Oryctolagus cuniculus: one gene and its partners. The protein of the gene in region 4 purifies or fractionates together with the protein of the main gene of each other region. This does not show direct contact. Links are inferred from orthologs where the notes say so. Each region holds a gene or a part of one and is shown on either strand. Other genes may lie near its edges.

Evidence for each region. The genes of interacting proteins can lie anywhere in the genome.
Region 1: the proteins of MAPK6 (region 4) and CEP170 purify together in Homo sapiens (affinity purification with mass spectrometry; 3 studies listed by BioGRID and IntAct, with this or other methods). This does not show direct contact. The link is inferred for Oryctolagus cuniculus from reciprocal best matches to the Homo sapiens genes MAPK6 and CEP170.
Region 2: the proteins of MAPK6 (region 4) and ECI2 purify together in Homo sapiens (affinity purification with mass spectrometry; 3 studies listed by BioGRID and IntAct, with this or other methods). This does not show direct contact. The link is inferred for Oryctolagus cuniculus from reciprocal best matches to the Homo sapiens genes MAPK6 and ECI2.
Region 3: the proteins of MAPK6 (region 4) and ECH1 purify together in Homo sapiens (affinity purification with mass spectrometry; 3 studies listed by BioGRID and IntAct, with this or other methods). This does not show direct contact. The link is inferred for Oryctolagus cuniculus from reciprocal best matches to the Homo sapiens genes MAPK6 and ECH1.
Region 5: the proteins of MAPK6 (region 4) and UBE3A purify together in Homo sapiens (affinity purification with mass spectrometry; 3 studies listed by BioGRID and IntAct, with this or other methods). This does not show direct contact. The link is inferred for Oryctolagus cuniculus from reciprocal best matches to the Homo sapiens genes MAPK6 and UBE3A.

Annotation. Positions count from the first base shown.
Region 1 is NC_091444.1:63,281,728-63,285,800, forward strand, and holds the start of CEP170 (centrosomal protein of 170 kDa), read right to left. Parts: upstream 2,801-4,073; 5' UTR 2,660-2,800; intron 2,112-2,659; exon of another isoform or gene 1,788-2,111; intron 1-1,787. Other genes in the region: SDCCAG8 (serologically defined colon cancer antigen 8), read left to right, coding at 3,610-3,850.
Region 2 is NC_091436.1:166,179,968-166,184,028, reverse strand, and holds the start of ECI2 (enoyl-CoA delta isomerase 2), read right to left. Parts: upstream 2,801-4,061; 5' UTR 2,740-2,800; intron 1,544-2,739; exon of another isoform or gene 1,087-1,543; 5' UTR 1,001-1,086; coding exon 893-1,000; intron 1-892. UniProt on the Homo sapiens protein: Able to isomerize both 3-cis and 3-trans double bonds into the 2-trans form in a range of enoyl-CoA species. Has a preference for 3-trans substrates.
Region 3 is NC_091449.1:15,908,542-15,912,727, reverse strand, and holds the start of ECH1 (delta(3,5)-Delta(2,4)-dienoyl-CoA isomerase, mitochondrial), read right to left. Parts: upstream 2,801-4,186; 5' UTR 1,513-2,800; coding exon 1,461-1,512; intron 1,161-1,460; coding exon 953-1,160; intron 867-952; coding exon 778-866; intron 1-777. UniProt on the Homo sapiens protein: Isomerization of 3-trans,5-cis-dienoyl-CoA to 2-trans,4-trans-dienoyl-CoA.
Region 4 is NC_091443.1:74,672,804-74,677,078, reverse strand, and holds the start of MAPK6 (mitogen-activated protein kinase 6), read right to left. Parts: upstream 2,801-4,275; 5' UTR 2,426-2,800; intron 1-2,425. Other genes in the region: RNA polymerase-associated protein LEO1, read left to right, coding at 3,471-3,528. UniProt on the Homo sapiens protein: Atypical MAPK protein. Phosphorylates microtubule-associated protein 2 (MAP2) and MAPKAPK5.
Region 5 is NC_091443.1:14,372,259-14,376,558, forward strand, and holds the start of UBE3A (ubiquitin-protein ligase E3A), read right to left. Parts: upstream 2,801-4,300; 5' UTR 2,696-2,800; coding exon 2,676-2,695; exon of another isoform or gene 855-2,675; intron 184-854; exon of another isoform or gene 45-183; intron 1-44. UniProt on the Homo sapiens protein: E3 ubiquitin-protein ligase which accepts ubiquitin from an E2 ubiquitin-conjugating enzyme in the form of a thioester and transfers it to its substrates.

The sequences.
Region 1 (4,073 bases), on a different chromosome or scaffold from region 4:
TTTACTACACTAGCACACTATTTAACCCCAAGATGTTTAAGATACAGAAGAAAAAATCATTACATATTGATTAAAATAGTATGAAGTATTTTTCAGGAACAGATTTCTGTTGAATAAAAAACATGTTCACAAAACCTTAAATACATACAGTATTTGGTAATGAACATTAATTATTATCAAATATAACAATAAAACTTTTTTCCGGTAGGTAAAAGGAACATGAAACTGATGCTTAGAACAAATGAAACAAATCACCAAGTACAGAGTTTCAAAAAGCACCTTAATACATACATACATACATACATACACACACACACGCACACACACACAGTGTATGCTTATGTTTACAGATAAATAGGACAGGAAACATGCAGATTATTTCCATACAAAATAATTTTGGAACACCATGAAATTTACCAGCAAAATGCATTTAAAGTTTCAATATGATTCCCCATACTGAACTTAATGACAGAGGCTTCTTAAATTGAAATTAAAGTGAAATAAATTCTAAAGAAAATATCTATTAAAATGCAATGCAGAATTAAAGAACTGAAATTATGAGTTGACATAAATAAAACCCCCTTTTTTTTTATAAAGTCGACCCAATTAAAAACAGAAAGATGACATTTCTCAAAGGGAAACTCTAAGTTGAAAACAATAAAATTCATTAATCATAGAAAAATAAGCTTCATAGCTTTTTAGTATGGAGAAATATTATTTTTAACAGTTCACAGTTGAACATAATATTATAAAATACTATTAAATTTCAAGAAATAATATTAAAATATGGTTACTAATAAGTAGAAGTGAAAACATTCCAACAGTTTGTTTTCATGAAAAGAACTGTTAGGGTATCTTCCCTTATTAGTAAGTTACTTTGTAAAGCTAAAATTCAGTTTCAGTAGAATTACTACTTCTACATCACAAAAAGAAGGACTAGATTAATACAAGTGAGAGAATTAAGTTTACTGTTACACACAAATTAAAAAGTACAGAAGCTTTCCATAAATGTTCACAGGGTGGAAGGTGAGGGCACACAGTAAAGATCACTCTGTAGAACAGACCTTGGTTTTATTTGACTGTGCTTTCTGTTAGCACATTGGCTTGGGCAGACAAATCAGTGAGTTTTAGTTTTTTTCAAGCGACTGTTCCGTTTAAAAAAAAAAAAAAGCAAAATTCTACAGTATCTATGAAGTTAGGAAGAACTAAGAACAGTGCTGGTTTTCACTTTTCAAAAAAATAATGGCAGAAAACTACAAAACAATTTGATAGCTGAATTTCTTCCTGGCTTTGAAGTTTACCCAATTAGGGTTGTATCAGTAAAGATCTAGAAACTGTATTTATAATATAACTCACACTACTCCTCCATCTTCTCCCCCAGCCTACTTCATTCTTTCTTGGGCTTATTTTACACAGAGACGCCAGCAAATGGTTACAAGCATTACAATCCTAACAAGCAAATCATTTTAAAAGACGCATTTTCAATCGCATGGATCATCCACTTCACCAAATTCCTCCCAAACGGCTGAATTTTCATGAAGAGAATAAAAATGAGCAAACAGCTTCAGAAACAAATACACCAATCCTTATTTTTGTTTGGATTGCTTTAAAACATAAAAGGGAAAGACGTAGCTTCATCTATTCCCTTAGGACCCATGCATGCGTTACCCACCCAGTGGAAAAAAAAAACAATTCTCCTGGTTCATTTCCCTGCTACACACCCGCTCGGCTGTCAGGCCCCTTCTCGCCCAGCCTTCAACGTCATCTAGTAATTTTACATTGATCACCTTGACAGTGCGTGCACTCTGGCAAGCACGGTCCGTGTCTTCCCCCACATTCTTCGACAAAATAAATCAAAACTCTACCGAACGCCACAAAACAGAGATGCTGCGACTGGGGAGACGAATCCCACGTCTTCCCGCCCGGTGTTAAGACACTGCTAGTATTTCTCCCCCTCGCAGAAAATGGAAGGGAAGCGGACCCAAAACGCTGTATTTGAATCTTAGGACAATGAAGCCGACAGGAAGTCGCTCTCCCTTCCCCGGGGTTCACAATCCAGCCAGCTAGAGATGTACCCCGGGTGCAGTCGCCTGGCAGGGTGCGTGACACCGCGTCTTCCACGCCCTCCCAACGCGTGCAAAGGGCCCTCGCCTGACCTCCCCCGACTGCCTCATACCCCAAAATCCAACCACACAAAAAGACTCGGCCCTGGGAGCTGCTCCCACTGGGGAAAAAAAAAAATCCCTTCCCCAGCGGCAGCGCAGCCATTCCTTCCGATGCTCCGCCCGCACCCCTCGCAAACTGCTCCAACGATGGGGGAGGGTTGCACAAAGCCGGGAGGGAGCTGCAAGCGATTCAGTACACTTAGGGGAGGCGGAGACCGCGGCCACGGGCCCGGGAGGACCCAGACGACGGCGGAGGGTGGGGAGCGAGGACCGGAGGCCATCAAGGATGGGGGGATGGGAGGAGCGGCCCCGCCGAGCCCCAGGTCCTGGGCGATGGGGGTGGTAACGCCGCGCGGAGCATCCGGGAAGGCTCTCCCTGCACCCCCGCCACGCCAGGGGCCGCGCCCCGAGCCCCCGGCGCAAATCCGAGCAGGCTGTGGAAAAGCAGAGGCGGCGGCGGCGTCCACCCCGAGGCAGCGGAGCGCATCACTTACCCCTCACCGTGAAGAGAGAGGGACCGGACGGGGGAGGCGGGGCGCGTCGCGTCCCGTGAGTCTCTCGCACGCCGTCCTCTCCCCCACCCCGTCGTCGTCGTCGTCGTCTCCGCCGCTGCTGCCTTCGTCGCTGCAGCTGCGGTCGAGCTCCCGGCCCCTCGGTTCCGCAGGGCAATAACGTTATTCCACACACGCCCCACACATAGCGGTAACGGCAAAGAGCGGTCGCTGACTGCGCAGGCGCCTGGGGAAAGGGCGAGGTGCTGGGCCCTATCCACTCCTCCAGCCCAGTCCCAGCGATCTCTTACTGCGCAGGCGCCAGACACAGACAATGAAAGGGGGTTGTGCGGAGGGTCTCACACGCCTTGCCTGCTGCCCACTGCGCAGGCGTGTCCCCAAAGACCGGCCTGAACAATGAAGAGAACTCTGGCTCTAGCGGGGACCTGCAACCAACGAGGACTACAATTCCCGGCGGGCAGTGCGCCAACTGCAAGAGGAGGTCGGGTTGCTTGGCATGCTAGGAGTTGTAGTGTTGGCCGCCTTTACAAGCCAGGCTGTTTGGGAGAGTTAGAGTTTCTTATTTCTTAAGAATTGGACCGTTTTGACAAATGTCGCGACCGAAGGAGGGTTCAGAGATTATTCGCTTCCCAGAGAAGCCTGAAGGATCAATTGCATATTAGTAAAGATCGAAGCGTCCGGGCCTTCAGAAAGTCCTTTCTGTCAGCCGGGTGGTCCGGACTGCTGCAGGACAGGGTGAAGGCGGGACTAGCCAGGCTGGCTTAGAGGAAAAGGGAGGAGCCCGCAAGCCGGTCTCGTGGCAACGATCTGTGGTAGCCAAACCGCCGAAGCCAACGCCAGGAGCGCAGTGCCCTCTGGGAAATGTAGTGCAGCTGGAAGGTTCTTAGGATTCTCGAGGCTGTAGAGCCAGAGCCTTAGAACTACAACTCCCAATGTCCATCACGAGGGCTCGAGGGTGGGAAGAGACCCCACGAGCTGCGTCCGTGGTTCCAGGCTCCCCAGTGACAGTTGCGGCAGGAGGCGGGCGGGCGCTAGGGCTGTTGTTGGAAGGGAGAACACTGGACGATAACCCACGTAACTCGCATCTCTTGGCCCAGAGTCTGTGCATGGCGAAGTCCCCAGGGAACTCTTCCCTGGAGGAGATTCTGGGGAAGTATCAACGGAGTCTCCGGGGTGAGTTGCTCCGAACCTCTGTGCCTAGGCCCTAGGTATCCAGGGCCTACTAGGCGGGAGCAGACCAGGTGCCTTAACGGACACCTCGGTTCAGCCCAGCCAGGCTGCAGAGGAAGAAGATGGATGTTACTGGTCTTTGACGAGGATGAACTAGTTTGCTGCTGTTTTTATGATTAAGCAGAGTTGTTGTCTTTTTTTTTTTTTTTTAAAGATTATTTATTTG
Region 2 (4,061 bases), on a different chromosome or scaffold from region 4:
TTCCCAACCCCTTATCCCAATTCAACAAGTGTCACATTTTGCCTTGCTTGCTTCATCTATCCTTTTTTTTCTTCTTTTTTGCTTAGTGAATCTCAAACATCTCACCATTTCACCCCTACATATTTACTATAAATTTCTAAAAAATACCAACTTTTTAAAAAAAGATTTATTTATTTATTTGAAAGGCAGAATTATGGAGAGGCAGAGGCAGAGAGCGGTCTTCCATCCACTGGTTCACTCCCTAGGTGGCAGCAATAGCCAGAGCTGGGCCATTCCAAAACCAGGAGCCAGGAGTGTTTTCCGGGTCCCCCATGCGGATGCAGGGGCCCGAGGACTTGGGCCATCTTCTACTGCTTTCCCAGGCCATAGCAGAGAGCTGGATCAGAAGTGGAGCAGCTGGGACTTGAACCGGTGCCTGTCTGGGATGCTGGCACTGCAGGTGGCAGCTTTACCTGCCACGCCACAGCACTGCCCCCCTCCCCAACTTTTTTTTATATAATGGTGACACCATTCCTGGGTATCTCCTAACACTTAGTCCTTATCCAAATGTCCCCAATTGTCTCAAAATCTGCTTTTCAGTTGGTTTGTTCTAATCAGGAGCCAAATAAGGTCTACACATTCCAGTGTCATCTCATCTAAGTCTCTTTTACTTGGCAGTGGTCCTGAGGGGTTACTGTGTTCCTTAACTGGTTCAAGGCCTCCTGGACCCCAAACCCCCCCCCCCCCCCCACACACAGACACACACACACACGCTCTGAGGAGGAGAGGCCGCGATTCAAACGCAGCTGCAGGTTAGCACACACAGCTGGTCTCCTTCAGGAGTCATGGGCTCCAGCGCTCTCGGCGCTCACTGCTTACACAGTGCGTAGAGGCGGAGCCCTCGGGCGCTCACCTGCTTGTACAGGGCGTAGAGTCGCAGCTTCACTGCGTTCCCCGGGTCCTCCTTCAGGAGCTGCAGCTGGCTCACCGCCTTTTCCAAGTCCTTCTCGCTGGCTCGCATCGCCGCGGGGCTCGGTGCAGCTGTAAGGCCAGGAGAGGCCTGCAGGCGGGTGCGCTGGCTCCTAGGAAGGCCACGTGAGCTTGGCCCTGGGAGGGAAGTCAGCAGAGAGCATACGAGGCAGAGGCGGCAGGAGGCCGAAGTGCACAGCCAGGTTCTGAAACGGCCTTTGCCCTGGCCGATCAACAGTGTTTGCGCTGGCAAACGTCTCTCCACACACACGCAGGTGCAGGCCTCATGGCACGGCGGGTCAAGCTGCCACCTGGGACTCCCACATCCCGCAGCACACAGTGCCAGGTTCAAGTCAAGCCTCTGTTTCCAACCCAGCTTCCCCAGAGGATGGCTCAAGGACTTGGGTTCCTGCCCCTCAAGTGGGGGACCCAGCTCCTGGCTCCAGACTTTGACCTGGCCAGGCTCTGGCTGCTCCAGGCATTAGCTCAGCTCCTGGCAGACTTAACTGGTCGGAACTGGACGTTTCAGGTACAACAAACCAGTGGCTGGAACACAGACCTTTCTCTGTGTGCCTTTCAAATAATTAAAAATAAACTTTTAAAAACATTTATTTTATTTGAAAAGCAAAGTTACACAGAGAGAAGGAAAGTCAGAAAAGCAAAGTTAGAGAGAGAGAGAATGAATAAACTTTAAAAGCACACAGGCTGGGCTGTGGCGTAGCAGGTTAAAGCCGCCACCCACAGTGCCGGCATCCCATGTGGGCGCTGGTTCGAGTCCCGGCTGTTGCACTCCCGATCCAGCTCTCTGCTAGGGCCTGGGAAAGCAGCAGAAGATGGCCCAGGTCTTTGGGCCCCTGCACCCATGTGGGAGACTTGGAAAAAGCTCCTGGCTCCTGGTTTCAGGTCAGCTCGGCCCAGGCCCTTGGCGGCCATTTGGGGAGTGAACCAGTGGATGGAAGACCTCTCTGTCTCACTGTGCCTCTGCCTCTCTGTAACTGCCTTTCAAACAAATAAATAAATCTCTTTTTTTTTTTTTAAAGCATACATGCAGTGGGAGGAGGCAGGACATGGGTGAGAGACACAAGAAATCAAGACAGAAAGCCCGGCGTTCAGGACGCGAGGCCAGGGTCTTCCCCGCAGTGGGCGGGGGCGCGGAGCAGGCACCGCAAAGGCAGCAGGCGGGGCGGGGGCGCCAACACCGGACCCCGCGGACCCGCGAGCAGATGCGGCCATCACGGCCGGTGCACCCGGCGGGCTCAGGCCCAGCCACGCTGCCACCTCCAACCTGCAGGCGGCACCGTGAGCCCCGTCCGAACCCTGGGATACTGGGTTCGGTAACGCCAGCCCATAATAAGCCTTAGCGGTTCTGAGGGGGAGGGGTTGTTTTGTTTTTTCCGGAAAAGGACGAAACTGCCTCCGTCAGGAGTCTGGCCCCGGGCGACTCCAAGTGGAGGATACGGTCACTCGTAAACGCTCCCAAAGCTGGCGTGTGCACGGGCACACGGGCGAAACGGGTTTTTAAAAATAGAGCACGGGCTTGGGTCGCAAACAGCCACGCAGCAGGACCCAGTCGCCGGACCCCACGTCGCCCGGCTCGGGGTCGCTCTGCGGCCGCGGCACGGAGCCCAGGCCGGCCGCGCCTCCCGCCGCCCAGCGCCCGCGCGTCCAGGCGGCGGCCGCTCTGCACCCTCCCGCCGCGAGCCACCAGGGCGAAGTGCCGCGGCCGCCCAGGACACAGAGGGCGGCGCCCCAGGCCCGGCGGACGACCTTGGCCCTGGCCGCGAGGCTTACCTCGGGGACCGGAGCCGCGCCGGCTTCCGGCCACTCTCCACGGCGAGCGCTGGGCCAATGAGGGGCGCGCGGGGGCGGGGCCTGGACGGGGGCGGGGCTGCGGGCGGGGCGGGCTCGGGGGCGGGGCCGCGGCGGGGGCGGGGCCGCGGCGGGGCGGGGGCGGGGCCGGTGGGCGGGCCTGGCTCGGGGACCGGAGCCGCGCCGGCTTCCGGCCACTCTCCACGGCGAGCGCTGGGCCAATGAGGGGCGCTCGGGGGCGAGGCCTGGACGGAGGCGGGGCCGCTGGCTGGGCGGGCTCGGGGGCGGGGCCGGTGGGCGGGCCTGGCTTCCGGCCACTTTCTCCACGGCGAGCGCTGGGCCAATGAGGGGCGCTCGGGGCCGGGGCCTGAGGCGGGGGCGGGGCCGCGGCGGGGCGGGGCCAGGGGCGGGCCTGGCTCGGGGGGCGGGGCCGAGGGCTGGGCGGCTCGGAGGCGGGAACCTGGGCTGTCTAAACCAGGTTGCCCAGGTGAGTGGCCCGCGGGTGTTTGCTCGGGGAAGGATTTCCAGGAGTTTCGGAAGGGCCTCGGACCGCCCTACTCGGCCCGGTGCCCCCAGGGGACGAGGACTTTTAAATCAGTGCGCGGCGTCAGGTGCTCAGAGCGCTCGGGGCCGTGGCAGGTCCCGAGGCCGGGCCGCGTGTCCACGCGGGTCCCGGGAGGCTGTCCCTCGCGGCTGGTCAGCCCGCGCCGGCCCCGCTCCCAGAGGGTCTCTGCTCGCTGCCTCGCTTGCTCCAGGGGGTCTCGGGGCTCAGGTGCAGCCGGCTGCGTGGGCGCCTCGTCCCGCGGGGGAGCGCAGGTTCTGTCTGCTCCTCGCAACCCACGCCCGGACCCCAGAGACTGACCCCCGGAAGCCTCGTGCTTCCTGGAACATCTTAGGATCTATTTAGCACGTTCGGGGCCTTTAGATCGCACACCTGCGTTTTGAGTTGGTCTGTCACGCCGCGGGGTGTGAACTTGCATGTTTTCAGGAGTCTAAATTGATCACTCACAGATTTCCTGGTTCCTCACGCCTTCGTTTTGATGAGTTCAGGGTTGCGTGTTTTCATATGCTTCCTCATTTTCAGGCAGCACGGTGTGTGCTCAGTTTAACGTGTTCATCAACTTTGTTCATCAGAATATTAAGTAGATATTTACATAATTTGAGAATAACAAAGAATGCGACAGTTATTCCAAGAACCGTGAGGGTTCCCTTAACAAAGCCTTGAAATATTCCCAAGGGCGACCGTGCGCCAGGCAGGTGTGCCGGGCAGGTGTGCCGGGGGTGACAGCTCTGCACACGGAACC
Region 3 (4,186 bases), on a different chromosome or scaffold from region 4:
TCCTGCTAATGCATGGAGGAAAGCAGTGGAAGATGGCCCAAGTGCTTGGGCCCCTGCACCCATGTGGGAGACCCAGAGGAAGCTCCTGGCTCCTGGCTTTGGCCTGGCCTAACCCCAGTGGTTGGGGCCATTTTGGGGAGCGAACACAGCAAAAGGAAGACCTTACTCTCTCCTCCTCTTCTATAAATAAAATAAATCTTAAACAAAAAGAAAAATTAAAAAAAAAAAGCTCATGACAAACAGAAAGGAAACTTCAGCACAGAAATAGAAAATTTTTAAAATAAACCCCATGGAAATCAGAACGGACAGCTGAAATGCGAAGAATGCAGGCGAGCCCAGCAGGCGAGGGTGTGGGAGCGCCAGGCCAACTCGGCTACAGGCTCTCAGAGGTCAAGGACACAGGGCCAGGGCTGGGAGCCCACGCGCTTCTGCTCCTGGCTACAGGCTCTCAGAGGTCAAGGACACAGGGCCAGGGCTGGGAGCCCACGCGCTTCTGCTCCTGGCTACAGGCTCTCAGAGGTCAAGGACACAGGGCCAGGGCTGGGAGCCCACGCACTTCTGCTCCTGGCTACAGGCTCTCAGAGGTCAAAGACGCAGGGCCAGGGCTGGGAGCCCACGCGCTTCTGCTCCTGGCTACAGGCTCTCAGAGGTCAAGGCTACTTTCCAGAGCTGAATGCCTTAAGTGAGGACTTCAAGAAAGAAAGGATCGAGGCGCTAGTTGGAAGCGCGGCTCTGTGGCCAGGCGCGGGGAGGCGGGGTGCGCGGCGCCGCAGGTACCTGACGAGAACATCTTCCCCGCCCCGGAGATCACCACGGCCCGGCACTCGGAGTCTTGCGCTATTTTGTTGAAGCACTCCACCATCTCGCTGCGGAGGAGCCAGGGATGAGGGGCCGCACCGGCTCACGGCCATCCGTCTGTCCCCCACCCCGGCCACCCCGAGGGCCGCCAGACCTCCAGAAAGCCTTGTTCATGGCATTCCTCCTGTCGGGCCGGTGCAGCTGCACATGCAGGACATGCTTCTGGGCGGCCGTCACCAGGAGGGACTCGTAGCTGTGGCCCGGGGCTTCGCAGGGGGCTGCTCTGGGGGCCTCGCCGTGGGCGGAGGTGCCCAGCGGGCGGAGGCCAAGGCTGAAGCCCGGGCAGCTGGGAGCTGCCAGTCCTAGGGAGACAGAGGAAGGAAGGGCCTCTGAGGACCCCCGAGGGGGCACACAGCGCTTCTGAGAGCAGAGGGCGCACCAGGGCCCCACAGGCGGGGAACACGGCCCCTCAGAGACTTGGGTTTAACATCAGGGTGCACTGCTCAGTGGTTCCAGACCCATGGGGACATGGAGTCATCAGTGCCCCCAGACTGTAATGAGTAACCCTTTAGGCGGGGGCGCGAGGACCCTCCGTGACCCCGAGTGGTCCTACAGCCGCTTGGACAGCACAACAGATCCCCACAGGTCAGGAAGTGACTCACGCCGCATCAGCAGGTCGCGGAGACCGCGAGTGGCCGCCATCGCCGTCGCCATCGGGACCGAGTCGTGGAACCCGGCGGGAGGAAGCCAAGGGGCGGGCCCAAGAGGCCGCCATGTCAGGTGAGGGCACGGAAGCCGCAGTGGAACAGCCCTAAAGCGCCCCTTCCGCCATCTTTACTAAGGGCAACCAGCAACAGCGCCGCAAGCCGGCCGGCATGCTGAGGCTTAAGCGTTAAAACTTTGTCCCAGTGGGAACCGTGCCCGAGGAAACAACTGTTATGACTGCGGGGTAAAGTTTATCACAGCCCGGTCCTGTGTCCAAGGACGCAATGGCCGCAGTCACTTCATGTTAACTGGTGAAGAGATCATGCGGTAAAGGCACGGGATCACAGGCGGGCTGCGGGATCTAGGCAGCGGGCGTCTAGCTCAAGGACGCGGGCGCAGAAAGAGCCCTCGGAAAACGCCCGGAAATGCCAGGGGCTGCGGGCCAGTGGGTGGAGGGGACGCTGCTTAACGCGCATGTCTCCTGATTTTAGCCCGGATAGGCAGGCTCTGCCGTGGGGGACAGTCCGCAGGGCCACTGGAGCACACTGGACCTCCTACCCAGACTTCCAAGATGTGACAGGATACAACTTTAGGACATTTGGTAGGATGCTTCGCTGTAAAAGGTTAGGTTGCACACACATGGGATGTTGTCCCTGCAAGGAGTGCTAACAGGAGATGAAACTGCGCCCCAGGGCATACTGGGAAAACACTGATCCTGGGGCAGAGCAGGTTAGGGGGCCTCCTGCAGCACCTGCATCCCATAGTTACTGGTTGAGTCCCGGCTGCTCCACTTCAGATCCAGCTCCCTACTAGTGTGCAGAGAGCAGCGGAGGCTGGCCCAAGTGCTTGCACTCCACCTGTGTGACAGACCCCGATGAAACTCCTGGCTGGCCCAGCCCTGGCCACTGCAGCCATTTGGGGAGTGAACCAACAAAGTCTCTCCCTTCCTGTTAAACAAAAAACCTATTCTTTTGCACAGCAAGGTTAACAGCATATTGTCTATTTCCAAACAGCTAAGGTGGTTCTGGAACGTTTTCATCACAAAATTATGGTAATATATATATACCAATTAAGCTGACTTGATCATCAGACAATGTGTCTTTATCAAAGCATTACATAAAGGGGCTGGCACTGTGGCACAGCAGGTAAAGCCACAGCCTGCAGCGCCAGCATCCCATATGGGCACCAGTCCTGGCTGCTTCCGATCCAGCTGCTATGGCCTGGGAAAGCAGAAGATGGCCCAAGTCCTTGGGCCCCTGGGCCCACGTGGGAGATCCACAAGAAGCTCCTGGCTCCCGGCTTCAGATCAGCACAGCTCCAGCCATTGTGGCCAATTGGGGAGTAAACCAGTGGATGGAAAACCTCTCTCTCTGCCTCTCCTGTTAACTCTTACTATCAAATACATAAATAAATCTTTAAAAAAAATAAACCTCACATAAGAAGTAAAAGCCAACGCTAGTGGGTTTCCAAGTTTATGGCAGCAAGGTGACTGTAGTCTCTCCTCATCCAGAGGTTTCAAACTCCCCTGGCGAAGCCGCTCTCCGACAGAAGCCATCTGGCTTCAGATGCCAAGTGTTAAGTTTCAAAACGTCCTTACAGGAAGCTCACAAAACAAGTGTTCAAGTACATGTAGTGAACCCCAAGGTGAAGCTGTGACCCCCTCCTCTGCAGGCCACATCTCTGTGTAGGTCAAAGTCCTTAAGCCAAGTTCATGTCAGACTGCACCGCACCCCCCACGAGCCAGCCATCTTTACAGGTTCCCATCTTCAAGCGGGAGGGAGGGGGATGACACAACGTCCCGTTGCCACTGCTGCCCCAGCCTTCAGCCCACGCCACCAGCAGGAGTTTGCGTCCAGAGTAGCATCAGGGTAGCAGGCTGCTCGTAGACACACTGCAGTGCTGCTGCGGTAGCCACACACCTCGGAACACCTTTACGACGGGGTTAAGTAAATGACAGTGGCAAGGGTAAGGAAGCCAGCTCAGAACGTGGAAGACAGGACACCATACAATGCCAAGAACATTCTTTTCAGGGAAAAATTCACAAAAAACTGCTAACCTCAAACTTACTAAATAGCAGGTGTTCACTTTTTAGAATTAAGGCCCATTATGGGGTCTCTCTGGAAGTTTTAAATTTTTAACACCATTCACTTTTTATTTTCATTTTATTTCAAAGATGGATACAGACCTCCTTCCTATCCACTGGTTCATTTTCTAGAGGCCCAGGAATCAACCTTGGTCTCCCCCATGGGTGGCAAGGGCCAAGCACTCGGGCCACCATCTGCTGCCTCCCAGGGTGTACATTTGCAGGAAGCTGGATGCAAAGTGGAGTGGCCAGAACTCCACGCAGGCATCTCAAGTGGTGACAACCACGTGCTGTACACCCAGCCTGCCATTTCCCTCACGCCACTCTGGAGCTAGGCCCTGGCTTGGGCAGGGCCCACTAACAACGCCACCGGGCCTGCCAGACTTCTCGCCAAACGGCTCCACTCCAGCGTCAATCCTGAGTCTGCACCCTGGCCTGCCTGCACCTCTGCAGAAGACTGAGTGGGAGGGAGGGAGGCACCATGTCCTGACACCCCAGCAAGTTTGGTCTTTATTTTCCAAACAATTTTTATTGAAATGTGCCAAGAGTACATGGGCAGCACAAATGTATGAACAGGAAAAAAAAATCACATGTACAATA
Region 4 (4,275 bases):
CCATCAGATCAGTGCAGTGCGCCGTCCGCAGCGGCCATTGGAGGGTGAACCAACGGCAAAGGAAGATCTTTCTCTCTGTCTCTCTCTCTCTCACTGTCCACTCTGCCTGTCAAAAAATAAATAAATAAATAAAACTATAATTTCCTTCTAAAACTGAAAAATTCTTCAGATGTTTTAGAATCTCATTTCTCCCCAAATCTTTCATATGAAAAACTATGTTTGCCACCATTTCATATCCCTTCATCAGCCATTGCAAGGACCCAATTCACCAAGGAATCTAATAAAGACAGACTGTGAGGGAATGTCCTGTGTTTTCCAAGAAATGAGCTGCCACAGTGTTTTCTTACTGCTCTAGACAGAAACTGCAGGGTTCCTCTCTTCCTCTCTTCAGTTTAGCTCAACCTGTTCCCTTCCAAAAGCCACTCTTGCCACAAAGTACTTTCAGAAAAGCCACACGATCCTTCTGTGGAGTGGCAATTTACCATAAATGGAATGAATTTTCAGTTAATACATTTTGTTTAATCAAACTGTTGTTTTTTCTCTAAGTCTTTAAGATGATATAGAAATCAAACACATATTCCTGTTTTGTGACTTGATGTAGGCTTATCTTTTATACATTCCAAAAGGCTTCTATTACCTTGTAAAAATATTTGTAATGATATACTGACTGTATTATGTAACCAACCTAGTTGAATCTTTGTTCTTTTATTGGGGTCATCATGGTACTCTGAGGCTCTACCTTCACCTCATGAATTACAACATGAGACAAAAGGGACAACTTTTCAAAAATAGGGAAACAAAGTAAAGTTACTCTAGGGTTGTTTTAGTTATTTATATACCAAACGGATGAACCTCTCCATTCCTGGAACAAATGGAGGGTTTATTTTATCATTCAAAATTGAATCAAACAACCCAAACAGGATGAGACTGTCTCTGGGAGTAAACGTGATTGTTTTAGTACCCTGAACTTCAATTATATTGATTTGGGTGTAACTCAAGCTATGTTTCAGGCAAGAACTACTGGAGAATGACTGTGATGGACTTAGCTGTACCCCATCTCATGTATTCTATTCTGTGTGAACAAAGACAGCCAGGAGAAGAGCAATGATCAACATAAAGTCCAGCAAAAACAAAACCAATCAATCTATCAAGCAGTCAGAAGTTATTTGTTTTGCACTATTCCGATGGGAAAAAAACACATTGATTCTGCTAGTCAAGGATATGGGCATGATTATTCAGCAGGCTTTGTTGTAATCCAATTTATCACAATTTAATCAACACACTTTTCAAGGAGAGTACTTTAAACAAATCAACAAAAACTGAATCACTAACAAATTGCTTTTCCAGTATTCCAGTTAGATTTAAGGTGATCTGTATGTATCCTCTTACATCATCACTTTTTACATAGCAATTTTAGGATTAATGATAATATAACCTGTTCCACACCTTAATACTTACCCATTTGAACCCTGTCAGGCACTCCTATTTGCAGCAAAAATATATCTCATAATCCCCAAATTAAAAATTCATTGTTGCTTGCCAAGACCAAAACCTACATAGTAGCCTAATCAGGCAGTAACTTAACACAAGGGATACATTTTAAAGACTAAAAATGAATGAGTTTTTCCTAGAGACCTGGTTCTTTAATCTGTGCAAACCACTTTATTTCTTGGAGCCTTTGCAAAGTAAGGGGGTTTGTGTAGCACTGACCATGAGAATTTTTTTACTGTCTGACTTTATAATGCCTTACTGCAGCAACATCAAAATTTTCTTTGCAAAACAAAAAATCCAGTGGAACCTTCTGAAAAACATTTTTCTACTTGCAGGTTACAATCTGTTAGAAAATCATGAAAGCAACATACTGGGTTGTACTGCCTGCCAACATTTTTAGGAAACCAAAGCTGAGGGGCCGGCGCTGTGGGGCAGTAGGTTAATCCTCTGCCTGTGGCGCCGGCATCCCATATGGATGCCGGTTCTAGTCCTGGGTGCTCCTCTTCTAATCCAGCTCTCTGCTATGGCCTGGGAAAGCAGTGGAGGATGGTCCAAGTCCTTGGGCCCCTACACCCACATGGGAGACCCAGAAGAAGCTCCTGGCTCCTGGCTTCAGATCAGTGCAGCTCTGGCTGTTGTGGCCATGGAGAGTGAACCAGGGGAAGGAAGACCTCTCTCTCTGTCTCTTCCTCTCACTCTCTGTAACTCTACCTCTCAAATAAATAAATTCTAAAAAAAAAAAAAAAAGAAAAAGAAAAAGAAAGAAAGAAACCAAAACTGAAATAGGGTAATAGGAAAACTCAGTAGGAAAAGAAAATAGTGTTCTGTGAAATATTTGTTTCAATATCATGTGTTTTGGTGTGCTTTCCATCACTGACAAAATACCCAAGAAAACGAATTTCACAAAACAGTACAGGTGTAATAAAATGCTCACAGTTCCGCAGGTTCAAATCCAGCATCTGGCAGGCGTCACTGGTTCGCACTCCGGTGCTGGTGCTCTTCCGGGCACTGACGGAGCAGCGCAGAGCTTCACCGGCAAGAAGGCGCGTGTGACTCCGTGCACCGGCGTGTAACACAGCCACCAGGACTTATTCGCGGGGGCTTCACCTTCATGTCCAGTCCAATCCAACTACCTCTAAGGTCCCGCTTCTGAAAGCTGTGATTGCTTTGTTTCCACCCTTTTAGTATCGTTCACCTATGACATGAGGTTTCAAATCCTGTGTGAGTTCAAACCATAGCGTTATACGTAAACAGAGCTGCAAAGGAACAAGCTATGGCTCTTGCGAAGCTCTTCTAAAGCTGCAGTCATCAAGTGTGGTCCCACGAAGCCCGTTTCGGGGCATCTCAGAAAGTCGCCCCTTGCCAATTACTACCTCTCTAGCTAAACTCGGATTTTCTTCATCTGCTACCACCAAAACATTTCTAAGCAACTGACTTAGAAGCAGAAATAATTCAGCTGTGTATTTTATGCTGGATATTAAAGATTTCTTCAAAACTTTAAAACCATTCCACTCGTCTAAAACTTTAGAAAAGAAGTCATTTAAAACTTACCCCAAACCCACTATTTAACGTTTATTATCTTGAAACGAGTTTAGCACTTTTAAAATGTCTGCTTTAAATACTAATACGGTAAGTAGCCATGGGTATAAACCATCTAAAACAAAAGTTCTTTGGAATTCTCCACAATATTTAAGAGGGTGAGAAGAGGTCTGGGAAACAAAGGACTTTGGGCCTGATTCCGGATGGCCCGGGGGTCTTTCCCCAAAGCACCGCCCGCTCCGCGGGCACGCCCACCCCGTGAGAACAGACCCCGACGGAGGAACCGCGCCACCCAACCGTGTGGACGCGGAAACTAGGTCATAGAGGGAAAGGAGTCTTTTAAGCATATCTTTGCGACACTGTCGCGTTTCGTTAGTTCCGTGCCGTAAAGAACGGCGTGGGGCCGCCCCCAGCCGAGGCTGCAGCGGACGTGAGCGGCAATGGCGGATATGGAGGATCTGTTCGGGAGTGACGCCGACAGCGATGCGGAGCGTAAAGGTGGGGTGGGCCACGATCGGCAGGCGGGGTGCGCGGCGGGGCCCGGCCTGGCGTCCGGTTCCGGTCCGCGGGCGAGAGGTGGTGCTTCCTCTGCTCCTGCCCCAGCGCCCCCTGCACTCCCGGAGGTGCCACCCTCCCCTGGCGGGCGGGCTGGTCTAGGCAGACACACGCAAGAGTCTGTGCCTTGCGGTTCTGGGTGACCGTGGAGCATGCGGTGCCTGCCTGGGAGCACGGAGAGCAAAAGGGCGCGGGGCAAGGTGGGGGCGCGGGCCAGCCTGCGCAGCCCGGAACCTTGGGGTCCTGCTGTCCTGCGGTGCAGAACAAGGGCTGTTTGTGAATGAATGGGGTGAGGTGTTCAGGACCGTGGGGACGGGGTGGGTGATTTACAGAGGGGCTCGGAATGCTCTGTTAACGACGCCGGAGCCTGGCGCTGGCCGGCAGCTCGAGATGTCTGGATGCGGAGTCTGAGCAGCATACGGGGATGGAGCTACTCACCAGCGCTTTGCACTGGAGACATTGTGTCCCGTGAGCGCCAGTGCAGACACTCCAGGGTTCTGGAGTCTGCGGTATTAGGTTGGAGAGCTTATGGGGCTCGTGTGGGAGGAGGAGTGGTGCGGGATGTGTTGATGAAATGAATGCATGGATGTGTGTTTATGGTGCGTCAAGTGTTTCTGGCACAGAGACTATGGATGTTTGAGTTTGAGATATGAATAGGAGTTATTTGAAGTTGAAAAACGCCCGCAAAAC
Region 5 (4,300 bases), about 60 Mb from region 4:
TTCCATGACTATTACAGTATAAAAAAAAAAAAAAAGCCTGTTACCTTATTCATTTTTATAAACAGCATTAGTCAACCACTGCTGTAAAGTAATCCAACAGCGGCTGGTGTTGTGTTGTAGTGGATAAAGCCACCACCTGCAAAGCTGGCAGCTCATATGGGTTCCAGTTTGTGTCCCAGCTGCTCTACTTCCAATCAAGCTCCCAGTTAACGGCCTGGAAAAAGCAGCAGATGATGGTCCAAGTGTCTGAGACTCTACCAGCCATGTGGGAGACCTCAATGAGGCTCCTGGCTTCAGCTAGGCCCAGCCTTGGCCATTGCAGCCACTGTGGGAGCAAATCAGCAGACAGAAGATCTCTCTTTCTCTCAAACTGTTACTCTTACAAATAAAAAATACACAAATTTATTTAAAAAAAAAATGTACAGCAACATAATACCAATTTCTAATGTTTCAAATTCGTAATAAAGGTTAAAAAAATTTTCTTTGAAGTCAAAACCTGTATATCAAATTGGTACTATAAGGACTTGATTTGTGAATTTATCAGACTTCAGATATCCAACTTAAAAAAAAAAAACTTAAAAGAATTTTAAAATCAGAGTCATTAGAAGAAAATGTTCCCCAAATTTATGGGCTTCAAAAAAAAATTTTTATTAGGGTTTCAAAGTTACACTCACTGTAGTCTATTCATATTCGAAGGACGCAATACTCCAGCAGCTCAAATATTTATTTTAGATCTTTCCAGTATATTTAAATTTTATAGAAAATTGTTTAAGAACTAAAAACCGGAGCATGCTGGAGGTGGTAGTGACTTTGAAGTTACACAATGTAAAAATTTCACTCTACCCTCTCCCCAGGGATCAAGCAAATCACCTCTGTGACACACCTGGTCTCTACCAGCCTTGTGGGGTAAGTACCCCAAGATTGCTTCCAAACTAGTATCTTTTAGACAGAAGAGCTAAAAACTGATGATATGCCCATGTACCAGCTGATTCATTTTTGCCAAGTGTGACCCCCTAGCATCAGATATCATACTATAAAGAGACAGAGCTGGCTTGCAAAACAAAAACTAAATTCGTGCTGGCACTGAGGGAAGACGGGCAGATTAGAAGCTTTCAAACATGTAGGTATCAAACTCTAAAAATTATCAGGGCAAGGTGAGGGGAAAAATGGGACTTAATGATAGGAAAATTAAAATAGTACTGCAAAAAAAGGAAAGACACAGCCAAAAAGGAAAACAAGCTCAAACCTTAAAGTAAAACATATAATGGCTGCAAAGTCTTGAGATTCTGAAACAGGACAGAGATAAAGTTCAACATCAATTTTTCCCAATTTCTTTCCCCTAAACAGTATGTGATCACTTGTATCAAAATGTCACTATTGTTATACTAGATAATTACTTAATATCTATGTATGTTAAAGTGAGTTACTAAAAACCGTCTATGAGTCAAACCAAATAATTTAAACCAATCCAGTCTAGAAAAAGAACAAAACAATAAGAAAAAATTGAAAAATTTTCCTTAAAATAAATCTATTCTGGGTCTCATATATAGCATATTACTTTCTATTCAAATAGGAAATGTTTTTTAAATCGAGAGAAAAATGAATATACAGAGAATAAACACTCTTCTTGCAGTATTAATGATCCATTTCTCAATAAATTTCTAGTCATCTTGCTTAAACATTTCAATAATATTTTAAAGTTACCAAAAATTATCCTAAAGTTAGGATACAAACTCTTCAAACTATGAAACACACAAAGGCACTTCAAAAACTTTGTGGAAAAATGGAATTACAATTTTGATACAGAAAAACTTTTAAATTTTTACATGTTTTTTTCAGGACATGAATTTTTTTAAGGCCCCCTTATACAACAGTTCCCACACTCTACTCTGGCTCCTTCAGAGCTTATTTATTCTTTACTGCTAAGATGTTGGGAGTTACAATCCACTATGTGCTCATAATTTTACTAAATTAAAAAAAAAAAAGCCATTGTTATCTTAAACCAGCAGAGTAACAAAGCAGAAAGAAAATTTTAAAAACGAAGCCATAACTAAGTAGTATTAAAAAAATAGAAAATACAGCTTAGAAAAGTCTCAATTTTAAGTCTTGATTTGAATAGCAAAAAGTATGATCACAAAACACCCACTAATCTGAATACTGCAGCATTAGCTAGCAAATTCAAACGGTGGCTCACTTCCAATAATACTGGGTGCAGCTTCTCCATCCTGCAAGCCACTCCTTTTACCTCCACTGTAACTCTCTAGGAGAGAAAAGTATACTAGTTTTATTAAAGTTATAAAAATTTCTAGAAACGTATCTTAATTAAAACACCCACCACGTAAAAGACACACTTTAAAATGTTTATTAAGAAATATTACAAATCTCCTTTACAATGTATATAATAAAATGTTTATATGTTACAACTTGAAATTTTTTGAGAAATGCTTTCCTGTTTATCCACACAGATAAGTCTTCAGTGGTGGCTACTGATATTCTGAATGAGGGGAAAAAAATAAATATTTCAGAATGAGACTAAATGAAGAAATAAATCAACTCTTAGGTCCACTATTCTTGGCAGTGTTTCTGCCAACTACACATTTTCTCCATTTTTACAGCATGTATTTCACTTTACAATGGCAGCCTTTTAAAGGCTCTAACATAACATTCAAAATTACCTTTTACAAGCTGTGGCCATTCGGTGACATCAGGGTGATCACAGCTTTGAGTCACTGATTAAAAACAGGTTGGCACACCAGTCTAGCTGCTAACTTGATCTGAGCGTAGGCTTAATAACTCTAATAAATTAAACAAATCTTTAGTTAGAACACTTTAATATATAAATCCAATTCATTGTTCAAATAATAATTTGAAACTTTAAATTAGGTGTCAATGCAAAATTCATCAGAAGAATAATTACTACAAAGAACTATTCTTCAGCATTTTGTTTTCTTAAATGATATTTTCATTGAGAAAACATGGTATAGGTTGAACATCCCTAACCTGAAAATCCAAAATGCTCCTAAATAATCTGAGGGCTTATTGGGAGCATTTTGGATTTTCAAATTATAGAATTTTTCAACCAATAAAGTCTATACAAGTATTCAAAATCCGAACAACTCAGAAATAAAGCATTTCTGGTCTCAATTATTTCAGACAAAGGAAACTCAATCTGTGATAATACCTTCTACTTCTGTGTAATGTTATGAGTTTACAAAGCACTCTGCTTGGTAATTACCTTGAATCTCAAGACAACTTGACTAACTAATAAAGCTATTTCATACATAAGAACTTTAAAAAATCAAGCAGCCTCAGAGTGATTAACTGACTTGCCCAAGATTTTAGAATTAGTGCTGAAACTAGTAATAAAATGCAAATTTACTGAATAAAGAAGTTTGGATTTTGGAGGCTGAATTTTTATTTTGGTTTAGTTTCGCTACTTAATGTAAGAGCAAAAAAATTAGGACATGGATTGAGACCTCAAAATTATGGCAACAGGTTCAATATGACACATTTTAGTGATAGGGTTCTTAAACAGATGAAGAAAACAAATCACCAAAAATGAAAATGTTTAAAGAAATAGTTATATACATACACACGCACATATACAAACCAAAGTGTTACTTATTCCATATTTACGTAGATTCACCACACATTAGCCAAAACTCCTTGGTTACTGCATGAAAATACGTCCTAGTCTTTCCAGTCAAACTCATTAGATTCAATTTCATGAAAGATTATGATAAAACTATGAAATTATATCCTCCTTTCAACCAAGTTATCTTTTACCCCCTTTTAAGGTGGCCTCAGCTAAATTTTCCTAATTGTCATGGTCCAAATTTTGCAGATCTCCTTAATTATACTACAGGTTTTGGCAAGCACAGCATACATGTGATATAGCCTTGTATCAAGAGATCCTTTCAAACTATTAGTTTTTCCTCTTGTAATTCCCCTACTGAACTGCATTATTCAGGCACTATCTGAGGAGCAACTAAGGGAAGATGAGAAAATTAGAAGGGAATGATCTTTCATAATTAATGCGTTCAAACTAACAACAGACAAGCACAGAAGGCAGTTACCAGCATGGACCCAGAGCCAAATAAAAAACATCAAGGTATCTGAGAACCCATAGAGAAGTGCTGACACATCAATGCTTGAGCCTGTACTTCCATAGCTATGAACACAGGGCTTTAAATCCAGATGAAGGTGAGGAGTTGTCTGAGTATATGTAAATAATCTCAGGAAATGCCCATAAATAAGACTTACAATCACTATAAAAAGATGAGAATACTTCAAAAAGTTC